Linked DNA regions of Solanum lycopersicum. The protein of the gene in region 1 interacts with the protein of each later gene in a pairwise test. Links are inferred from orthologs where the notes say so. Each region holds a gene or a part of one and is shown on either strand. Other genes may lie near its edges.

The links.
Region 2: the proteins of RBR1 (region 1) and 101255150 interact in binary tests that used the Arabidopsis thaliana proteins (3 or more experiments, as listed by UniProt). The link is inferred for Solanum lycopersicum from reciprocal best matches to the Arabidopsis thaliana genes RBR1 and SCR.
Region 3: the proteins of RBR1 (region 1) and transcription factor E2FA interact in binary tests that used the Arabidopsis thaliana proteins (3 or more experiments, as listed by UniProt). The link is inferred for Solanum lycopersicum from reciprocal best matches to the Arabidopsis thaliana genes RBR1 and E2F3.

What each region holds. Positions count from the first base shown.
Region 1 is NC_090808.1:68,046,188-68,049,944, forward strand, and holds the start of RBR1 (retinoblastoma-related protein 1), read left to right. Parts: upstream 1-1,624; 5' UTR 1,625-1,764; coding exon 1,765-1,854; intron 1,855-2,514; coding exon 2,515-2,619; intron 2,620-2,719; coding exon 2,720-2,862; intron 2,863-2,944; coding exon 2,945-3,041; intron 3,042-3,281; coding exon 3,282-3,328; intron 3,329-3,447; coding exon 3,448-3,646; intron 3,647-3,757. UniProt on the Arabidopsis thaliana protein: Key regulator of entry into cell division. Acts as a transcription repressor of E2F target genes, whose activity is required for progress from the G1 to the S phase of the cell cycle.
Region 2 is NC_090809.1:57,241,764-57,245,520, reverse strand, and holds the start of 101255150 (protein SCARECROW), read left to right. Parts: upstream 1-1,108; 5' UTR 1,109-1,254; intron 1,255-1,308; exon of another isoform or gene 1,309-1,739; 5' UTR 1,740-1,822; coding exon 1,823-3,757. UniProt on the Arabidopsis thaliana protein: Transcription factor required for quiescent center cells specification and maintenance of surrounding stem cells, and for the asymmetric cell division involved in radial pattern formation in roots.
Region 3 is NC_090800.1:2,212,618-2,216,374, forward strand, and holds the start of transcription factor E2FA, read left to right. Parts: upstream 1-1,159; 5' UTR 1,160-1,371; coding exon 1,372-1,614; intron 1,615-3,440; coding exon 3,441-3,630; intron 3,631-3,757. UniProt on the Arabidopsis thaliana protein: Transcription activator that binds DNA cooperatively with DP proteins through the E2 recognition site, 5'-TTTC[CG]CGC-3' found in the promoter region of a number of genes whose products are involved in cell cycle regulation or in DNA replication.

The DNA.
Region 1 (3,757 bases):
TGGTTCTACTCAAACAAATTAAAATATCAAGTGTCAATTCCACCTTAAATTTTAGGCTCGAAACGTGACAAACTTTTGTTATAAGATGTCAGTTTCCATCGATGGAACTACAAGATATTGTCATGAGGTTTCAATAGTAATCACTTTTGTCGCAACTAAGGGAGAAAAACAAAATGTGCTATATCATGTATACTTATTAATGGGCCTGGGCTGGATTGGGCCAAAAGCCAGATCATTTATGGGTATATATATATATATATATATATATATAACACAAGTTGGATACATAATATGTAGCTCAGACACATTAAAGAATATCTCGAGATACATTTAAAACCATCTGAGATACATAACATTTAGCTCGAATACATTAAAAACTAGCCCGAATATATTATAAAATAAATCGGATACACTAAAGACTGACTCAGATTCATTAATATGTAGCTCAGATACATTAAAGACTGATTCAGATACATTAATATGTAGCTTGGATACACTAAAGGAATAAGAAATTTTAGAGTTTTTTTTTAAAATAGAAGGAGATATTGGAAATAAGAAAAACATTGACGTGTATTTCAGTAATTTTTCCATATATATATATATATATATATATATATATATATATATCCTTTACGTTTACTAACTAATATATAATTAATATACAACAACAATATTTAAATCATGCTCGTGGGGGCTTTGGGAGTAGAATATATGCAAACTTTATCATTACCACGTGAAGCTGGTAAGACTATTTTCAAAAGACTCTCGACTCGAGTACATGAAAAGGAAAAACGACAGTGAAACAGATATAACAATTACTACGAAAATAATAATAATAACAAAATAATGTAATTATCGAAACATCAAATGTTTTAATGCTATGTCAAGTTAAGACATCGAATATCGGTCCTTAAATATTAAAAGGGAGAAAACAAAGTGCTATGTTCCTTAAATATGCTTATTAATGGGCCTGGGCTGGATTTGGTCAATATCCAGATTATTTATGGGCCTAGATACATATCCTTTACATTTGCAATTGTAAAAATTAATTAATTAATTTCATTTGCAATTTCACATAATTAATAAATTCATAATTTCATTATCTCATTAATACACAACAAACAACAATATTGAGATTCCACACGTGGATTCAGAGAGAATAAAGTATACACAAATTTTATTCTATACGTGGAGATAGAAAAGTTATTTTTAAAAGATTCTTACCTCGAATACGATAAATCATGATATAATAACTATTACGAAAACAGTAACAACTAATATTACACACTAAAACATCAATTATATTAGGTAAAATAAATTAATATAACTTACCCAAAAAACGAAAATTCGGTAATAAATAATAATTCAGGCGTTTCATTTTTTAATTTTTTTAACAAACAGTAGTTTCTCGCGGGAGACTCGTTAAGCTAAAGACGGAAATTTGGCGGTAAAAAACCTAACAGACAAAACACGTGTCGAATTTTGATTGGCTAATCCTACAACGTTGTCGGCTATGTATGGACATAAACCATATGACATACACTTTATGTATTTTCCCGCCCTAAAGTTAGGGTTTATAGCTAAACAGAGCAAACAAACAAATAAAAAAAAAAAAGAAGCAAAATTGGTCATAGAGATAGAGAGAGAAAGGCGAGGGAAAATTAGGGGTTTTTTAGTTTTTGAAGAATTTGGATCTAATTATACAGATCTGAGAAATTTGTAGAATTTTGGGTTCTGGGTTTGGGTTTCTTTAGTTAGTTGTGGATGAATATGGAGGAGCTGAAGAATCATTCGAATTCTGAAGAGAATGGTTCGGTGGACTCTCTTGAAGTTCGATTTACTGATTTCTGCAAGGTACGCTTAGTTTTGTTGAGTTTGATTTTAGGTTGTAAATACTTTCAGCTGATTTTTTTGGGCTTGATTTAGTTGAGAAAGAAGGAAGATTTGGTCGTTGTTGTGTTTTGTTGGTTAATTTGTTTAAAAAAATCATTTTTGTGAAACCCCATGTGTGAAATATTTGTTCTTTAACGGTTTCTGTTATGCGTTTGGCGATTTTAGTATTTTTAGCATTTGTTGTTTGATTTACAGAATGAGTTTCTTGTTTTCTGCATTTTTTTAGTTGTAGCGTCGAGACCCATGTATGCAAATTTTGTTCTTTTCTGGTTTTGTTTATGGATATGACGATTTTAACTTTTTTTAGGTGGGATTATTACGTTTGTTGTTTGATTTACAGAATGTGTTTCTTGTTTCCTGCATTTTGAAATCGTAGCTAAGAGGCCCATGTGTGCAAAATTTGTTCTTTTTCTGGTTTCTTTTATGGGTGTTGCCATTTTAATTTTTTGTTTTTAGGCGAATTTTAGTAGTTTTTTCATTTGTTTGATTTACAGAATGAGTTTCTTGTGTTGCATTTTCTACTTGTAGCTCAAAGACCCATGATGCAAAAATTTTGTTCTGTTACTGATATGGTAAACTTTGGATTTTAGTATTTTTTAACATTTGTTGTTTGATTTACAGAATGGATTGTCGATGGGTGAGAGTTTTATGGTAGAAGCTAGAAAGCTGTTTATGGACAGTAAACATCTTTTACTGTCAAATAATGCTGCTATTGGAGCTATAACGGTAAGTCCTCATGATTCTATCTTTTGCTAATTTAGTGTGAAATGACAAGTTAGGTGGTTTTAATATGGACTAGAATTGACTTGAGTGTGTTCTTTAACAGCCGGAGGAAGTTGAACGGTATTGGTTTGTGTTTGTTCTGTTCTCGGTGAAGAGATTAAGTGAGAATGAAGCTAGGAATTCGAGTAATGGGAATGAAGGAAATGGATTTGATCTATGCCAAATTCTGCGAGGGGCGAAACTCAAGTGCGTTTATCTAATGTTCTTGTGTTTCTTGTAAAAGTCGTGATTTTATCTCTGTTCTTATGAATTTTGTTTCGTTTTTTAGTGTTCTAGATTTCTTCAAAGAATTACCACAGTTTATTGTTAAAGTTGGTCCAGTATTAAGCAACCTATATGGTTCAGATTGGGAGAAGAGACTTCAGGTAATGATGACGTGGAGGGTTAATCTCATGTTCTGCAGCTATTGTTGTTTCTATTGGCTCTCTTTGTCCTAACAATGTGGCACAGTTGGTGGTGACACCGTTGTTTCCAATTATAGACTGTGACATTCTTTTTTGTACACTAAAAAGGAAAGTGTGCCACATGTATTAGGACAGAGGAGTTATATATTATTATTAAGCATTTATTCATGCACTTAAAATTTATTTGAACTGTTGTATTAGGCAAAGGAATTGCAGACCAACTTTGTGCATTTGAGCCTTTTAAGCAAGTGAGTACTCTTTTCAAGCACTAATTTCCTCTACTTATATTGCTTTGTGATGCTCATTCCGTTAATACTCAGGATGTGGCTTTTTGTGGTACATCTGATAACAATTTTACTGCTTTTAGGTACTACAAGCGCGCATATCAGGAGCTGTTTTTGTCAAGTGATAACAATGAAGTAAATCAGTCTGCTACTTCTAATTCGATTGTCCTCTTGCCACAGTATTATCGTTTTGGCTGGTTGCTTTTTCTTTCACTTCGCGAACATGTATTCAGCCGCTTCAAGGACCTTGTGACATGCACAAATGGTTTAGTTTCTGTGCTGGTCAGTTTCTACTCTATTTAGTTGATTCCTTGGATTCTGTCTGGTTTATTATGTTGTGTGTATGTTGTATTGGGCATGCTAATAATAGACTCTGTTTAACTTGTGTGCAAT
Region 2 (3,757 bases), on another chromosome or scaffold:
AAATTAAATTACATTTCAGTATTATATATTTAGTATATAATATTATAAAATTTAAATATTTGCAATTATATAGTACCTTATTCCATTTTATGGTCCTGTCGACAATTTCATAGAAAGCAATGCTGTGAGTATCCGATCCCCAACGACCTTTTTGGCTATCTTATCTCGAGCTGTGAGCTATCATAGAAATCACCATATTTGTGTCCGTGTCCATTTGTTAATAACCTATAAATTATCTTAAATTATTCTTAGTCTTTAGTCGTTTGGAGTGAATAATAATTTATATTATTTAAATACATGCGATTAAGGTATCGTCTTATTTATATTGTTAATTGTTATTAATTATATTGTAATGTTATTTTTTTAACGAAATAAATTCATTATATATAAATTTATGGGTACTCCTAATCATTTTTAGAATTGAAGGATATAAATCATATGTGTTGAAATAATCAAGTATTTTACGGAAAATTTGGGGTCAAACACATGGTGAAACTTCATCCAAATCTAATTTACCAAGAATATTCGAGAATTTAGGATCAAACGCTAGCTTAATTTGTTGTTTAGTCTGTAAGTTTGAGATAACTTATCTCCGGATTAATAATTAATATCGGATGAAATTATCCTTCCTCTTGGGTGATATAATAATCTCGGGATAAAATAGGTGATGATAGAAATATCCCTTTAAACCCTTTCTATATATTACTTTTCACATTCATTGAAGATATTTTTCTTATAATTTATATAATGCATATTATTTTGAATATAACATATCAAACACTCAATAAATATAATCTCATTATATCTTCTTTCGTCATGATTTATCTCATCATAGCTTAAATTTAAACAAAAACAATTTCTTTTTCCACATTTTTTAAAAGTTATATTTATATTTAAACACAACTTCAATATCGTAAAAAAATATTTTTAATTATTTTCTTCAAAATTTACATTTTTAGATCGAAATGCCTACTTACTTAAAATTAAATCTAAGTAATCGTTTGATTAAGAAGAAGTTATTCCGTATGAACTAAGTTATGTTGTGTAAAATTTGTTATTCTATATATTATCTTACCATGACTCTAAAGTTAAAAATTCATGTGGACCGGACATATAAGTTGAAGAAATAATAAGTAGCTAAAGTCAAACGGACGAAGACGCCTCACTAATCGAGATGAGAAAGAAAGCAAAGAAGAAGAAAACAAAAGTTTCCATCATTTCAGCCAACACCTACACTTAACTTGCCAGAGAAAGGTACCTATCTCCACTGCTCATAAAAAAAAAAAAAAAAAAAGCCCAACTCTCTTCATTCCATAACTATAAAATATTTTTTTATTATATGTTCACAATATCAACATTTTTGCAATATACATAGAAAAATCTAGACTCGTAGCACTAATAGCCGCAATAATAATTGTTGGGGAAAAAGAGGAAAAGATAGCTCATGGATTACAAAATGTTTTTTTATATGATATGATTAATAAGTTTTCAACAACTTCGGTACTTTATGTCGTCAATAAATTCCATTTTTCTTAGCCTCTTTCTCATTGTCAATACTGAAATTGCATATAAATCCAAAATGCAACCAGTCAAGTGTTTATAAACAAGTATAGTAGAGTTGCCCTAGGTGAAGAACGTGTTGTTTGTGTTGCATTGTGGTTATTTGATTGAGAAAATTAAACCACAGAATCCCAATGCTGGCTGTCTAAATCTTTTCATCGCTATATGTTTGGATTCAGGTAGCTGATTTTACTAACCCGATCCCAGTATATGATGGAGATGAAACATTTCATAGAGTTTGAGAATCTATTTCATAGTAAACATGGCCAAGGCTTTACCTGTGAGTGGTGAGAACTGCACCGGTGTGAACGTCGTCGGTGATAGTAGTGGTGAGAAGACAAGCAAGCAACTTTTCCACTGTGAAAACGGAAAAATGGTTAGGAAGAGAGCGGCGTCTGACATGGAGATCCAGACCGGCGCCGGTGAAGAGCATAGATATTTACGCCGGCCTGCTATGATAGGGGGGTCTCATTCTCAGGTTGGTGATTCAAGGGTTTGTGGTAATAGTAATTTTGGTCATGGTATGAACAGTAATTTGACAACGACGATGACGATGACGACTCAGGTTTCTAACTACTCCACTATGCAAATGTTACCTTCTTCCACGAACTTGTGCGGTGTGACGTCAAGAGGAGGGCCTGGGATTGATACCGGATTTTCTAATTCAACCCCAAACCTAACTTACACAGACGCCATAACATCGCATCATCAGCCACAAGGTACTCAAACCCAGAACAACAACAGTCAATCCCCATCTGTTTGTGTTTTCTCCGGTCTGCCGCTTTTTCCTCCAGATAGAAACCGCCAAAACAGTGGTTTACTACTGCAACAACCTCCTGCTGCTGCAGCAGCTGTTGTATCTTCACCTCTTACAACTGGAAGAATCGATTCCATGGAGGATAGTACGTCGGCAACGGCATGGATTGACAGTATTATAAAGGATTTAATCAACAGCTCCGCACAAGTATCGGTGCCCCAACTCATACAGAATGTAAGGGAGATTATTCACCCTTGCAATCCGTATCTCGCATCTCTTCTCGAGTACAGGCTTCGCTCTCTCACTAGTAATAATAATGGCGGTGCTGATCAAAATGACCCCATGGAGTGCTGGAGAAGAAAAGAATCGCTTCCGGCACAGCTCGCTGGTTTACAACAGGCCCAAAATAATGCCAATTTATTGCAGCACAATATTTTATCCCTTCCTGATTCCTCAAATAATCAATACTTAAACTGGGATATAGCTTTGCCAAACAGCCATAACGCTCCGGTAGCGCCTTCTCATAACCAGCACCAGCAGCTAGGCGGCAATAATCCTACTGCAACAGATCTTTCATTTGTTACACTTTCTCCTCAAGTGCAGCAGCAGCAACAACAACAACAACAAGAATCTCCCCATTCTCATTCTCAGCAACAGGCCGCAGTAGACTTAGATCAACAACAGAAGCAGCAGCAATCTTCTAGTTCTCTATCTCCAACATCGGTAGCCGACAATAGCGCCAAAACAAAAACTTCAACCCCAGCTCCACCAGTTCCGATCAACACGTACCGAGAAAAAAAGGAAGAAGAACGACAACAGAAGAGGGATGAAGAAGGATTACACCTTCTGACCTTGCTATTGCAATGTGCAGAAGCCGTATCCGCTGATAATTTAGAAGAGGCAAATAAAATGCTATTAGAAGTATCCGAACTCTCCACACCGTTCGGCACATCTGCACAGCGTGTTGCAGCATATTTCTCAGAAGCCATGTCAGCAAGGCTGTTGAATTCATGCTTAGGAATATACGCAGCCCTACCAATGACCAGCGTCCCCATGCTTTACACACAGAAAATGGCATCTGCTTTCCAGGTGTTTAACGGAATCAGCCCTTTCATCAAATTCTCACATTTCACAGCCAATCAAGCTATACAAGAAGCTTTCGAGAGAGAAGACCGGGTACACATAATCGACCTTGATATAATGCAAGGTCTTCAATGGCCCGGTCTTTTCCACATCTTGGCTTCCAGGCCCGGTGGACCTCCTTACGTTCGGCTCACGGGGCTTGGAACCTCGATGGATGCTCTTGAAGCAACCGGCAAACGACTATCCGATTTTGCCGAACGATTAGGCCTTCCTTTCGAGTTTTTACCAGTTGCTGATAAAGTTGGAAACTTAGACCCTGAGAAATTGAATGTGAGCAAAAGAGAAGCTGTAGCAGTT
Region 3 (3,757 bases), on another chromosome or scaffold:
TCAATGTGACCTAAAAAATGTGACATATGGATTATGGAGGATAAATTATAAGCAAACTTTACTCTCATTTCATGTAAGGTAGATAGGTTTCGGATAAACACTCAACTAAAGAAAAATATTTTTTGTAGAATCTACGATAATAAAAATGCAAAAAAGAGAAGTATCTAAAACAAAAATAATAAGATTATAAGAAAATATAGGATTAATAGTAGTGATTAGTATAAGATGGGAGTAGAAAAGTTGCTCCTACTATTAGGATGGGCATAAATATTGAAAAATAGAGGAATTTAAACGTAGTTTTATCAATGTACGTTACGTAAGAAACTCATTTTCATCCTTGTCCTCCTCGCGCAGCAGAGTGACGCAATAATTAAGTACAATAACTGTTCCATATTGACGAGACACGTCATCATTTAGCATAGTTTTAAAGATTCTTAAATATCTCACACTTTTTTAATTTTACCCTCGTTTTATATTCTTCATTCTCATCGAAAAATTCATTTTTAAAAACAAATTGAAAAAAAACAAACTGAATTGAACTAGTTTGGTTCGGTATTCAGCGCACACTTTTTCAAAACTGCAAACAAAAAAAGTTGCTCCTATTATTAGGGTGAACATAAATATTGAAAAATAGAGAAATTCAAACATATTTTTATCGATATACATTACGTAAAAAACTCATCTTCGTCCTTGTCTTCCTCGAGCAGCGGCGTGACACAATATTTAAGTACAATAACTGTTCCATATTGACGAGAAACATCAATCACTTAACATAGTTTTAAATTTTCTTATATATCTCACACCTTTTTTTTTATTTTACCCTCATTTATTCTTCATTCTCATCGAAAAAATCATTTTTAATTGAAAAAAACGAACCGAATCGAACTAAGTTTGGTTTGGTATTCACTCCACACTTTTTCAAAACTGCAAACCAAAGAGCCAAACGACGAATGGCGAACGCCACCCCTACCTACTAGAATCATGTTTCTTCGACGTAACTTTCTACCCTAATTTTTGACTTCCGTCATTTGATCGCCCAAAAAAAATAAAAATAAAATAGTAAATTTTTTACCAATAGAAGGGTCAAATTGCAAATAATAAGTATTCATATGGACCAAAATGAATAAAAACAAAACATTAACATTTTCTCTTCCCTCCACATATATACAAAAACCAAAATTCCCTCCCTTCCCTCGTTTTCTCCTTTTTGCCTTTCACAGAGAAACCCTTACCCCCTACCCCCCCCCCTTACCCCCTACCCCCTTTACCCCTACCCCACCCCCACCCCATCCCCTCAGAACCCTTCTCTTCAACAATCCAAAAATCTTGAGTTCAAAGGGTATATCTTTTGATTACAAAACTAGGGAAAAAATGACAGGTTCTAGTGCATCCACTGGTGGGGCGGCGCCACCCACTGCTCAGTCATCATCCGCCGTTGTAAACGGTGGAGGGAGGAGTCAGATCTCTCATCCGATCAAAAGATACTTACCCTTTGCTTCTATGAGGCCACCTTTTGTTACACCTGAGGATTACCACCGATTTTCTATACCTGGTGTTGATTCTAGAATTGGGTCTGCTAGTTTGCAGCCTGAAGCTATTGTGGTTAAGTCACCTGTGAGTTTGTTGGATTCTTGTTTGAGTTATTAGTGTTGTTTTTTTATGGGGATTGCTGTTTGATTTTGTGTAGTGGGTTTTTGTGTTTTGAAATATGGGAACTTTAGATTAAGTAGTTGAGACTTGAAATTAGATGTTTTGAAGAAATATATCTTGTGGGGTTTGATTAAATGTAGCTAAAAAGATGTAATTTTGAGTTGAATTGTTGCTGTTTTTGTGCATTTTGCAGTAAATAGCATTCTTGTTTGAGCTTATAGTGTAGTTGTTGGGGATTGCTGTTTGATTCTAATAGTGGGTTTACGTTTTGAAATATGGGAACTTTAGATTAGAGGTGAGATTAAGGAGTGGAGACGTAAATTAGAGATTTCGAAGGAGGATATTTTGTTAGGTTTGATTAAATGTAGCTAAAAAGATGTAATTTTGAGTTCAATTGTTGCTGTTTCTGTGCATTTTGTGTTTACTTGCATTCTTGTTTGAGCTAATAGTGTAGTTGTTGAGGATTGCTGTTTGATTTTATTAGTGAGTTTTGCATTTTGAAATATGGGAACTTTAAATTAGAGGTGGGATAGAGTAGTGGAGACGTGAATTAGAGATTTCAAAGGAATATCTTGTGGGGTTTGATTAAACGTAGCTAAAAAGGTGTAATTTTGAGTTCAATTGTTGCTGTTTTTGTGCATTTTGTGGTTACTAGCATTCTTGTTTGAACTAAGATTGTCGTTTATGGATGCTTTTAATTGGGATTGATGTTGGACTTTGGTAGTGTGTCTTGCCTTTTGAAATGGAACTTCAGATTATAACTGGGATTGATTAGTAGAGACATGAATAAGATATTTTGAAGAAAGATATATTGTGGGGTTTGATTATATGTCGTTAAAAAGGTGTAATTTCGAGTTAAGTTGTTGCTGTTTTGTGCATTTTGTGGTACTTGCGATTTTGTTGATCTGCAATATTTGTATTTCAATGTGTGAATAACTTTTGAGGCTAATTATTGTGGTTGGAACCTGGTATTGGGTTTGTTAAGCTAATGGATGGTATTTGGTATGTAGCTAATTGGCTTTTGTTGGGTTAAGATGTTAAGCTGCCTTTGGTTTTTCATTTCTAATTTCCCCGGAGGTCATTTGCCTCTTGTTAGCTGAAACATCCAGATACTGCTGGCTAAATTTGGTAAAAAGGAGTAAATGAGTCAAAGTGAGTTGGTTGTGATTTATGCTGTTCTGTCATTCATGTTTGCACACGTGACAACCAATTTGGTTACATAGTTGAACATGTAATGTAGCTTTGTTGATCTTATAAACCTCATGAAACCTGAATGCCATTTTCTTTTTGTATGTGGATATTATTGGTGTCATTCATGTTTTGAGTCCTATTGATAGCTAGAGAAGATTGAGTGGGAGGATTTTTATTGTTTGTTCATCTTCAGAATTAATTCCTTTGTTTAAGTAACAATTGGGACTTGTTTGTGTTCTCTAATTAGTTAGCACTAAATTAAACTGAAGCTCTGTTAGTTATGGCTTTCCTTCTATAGGTATATTATTTTAGGTGTGAAAGGTTTAGTGCTTATGTCTTGGAACCAGCCTCTCCATAAGGAAGTTATCTGTCTACAGTCACCTTCCCTGGAGCCTGCACAGAGGGAGCCTTCTTACACTGCTGTCCACCCTTGTTGTTTATAGTTTGATAATTGTGTGCCCAAGTCAAGAATTTTTTAATTCTATATACTCTAATTTATCCCAGGGAAAATTCAGAGTTTAGTCGTAATTGTTCCTCAGTTTGCTATGTTTTACTTGTTGATCACTTATTTCTACTTTGCACACTTAATGCGCCTGTAGGCACTAAAGCGGAAGACAGGCTATATTAAAGAGGTTGAGTCCAGTGACTGGACTGCTAATTCCGGGTATGCAGATGTGGCCAATAGTCCTCTTGGAACGCCTGTGTCTGGAAAAGGAGGAAGAGCACATGGACGGTCAAGAGCCACAAAAAATAATAAATCTGGACCTCAAACTCCTGTCTATAATGCTGGTGAGGCTTGTGTCTAATTTTTTATGTCTTGATTGTAACTGGACACGAGTAAATGTTCAAATTTTATTTCCCTCCGCATCTATCTAAACGTTATTTATAGAAAACGGTCTGTACTGTCTTGGTTGCA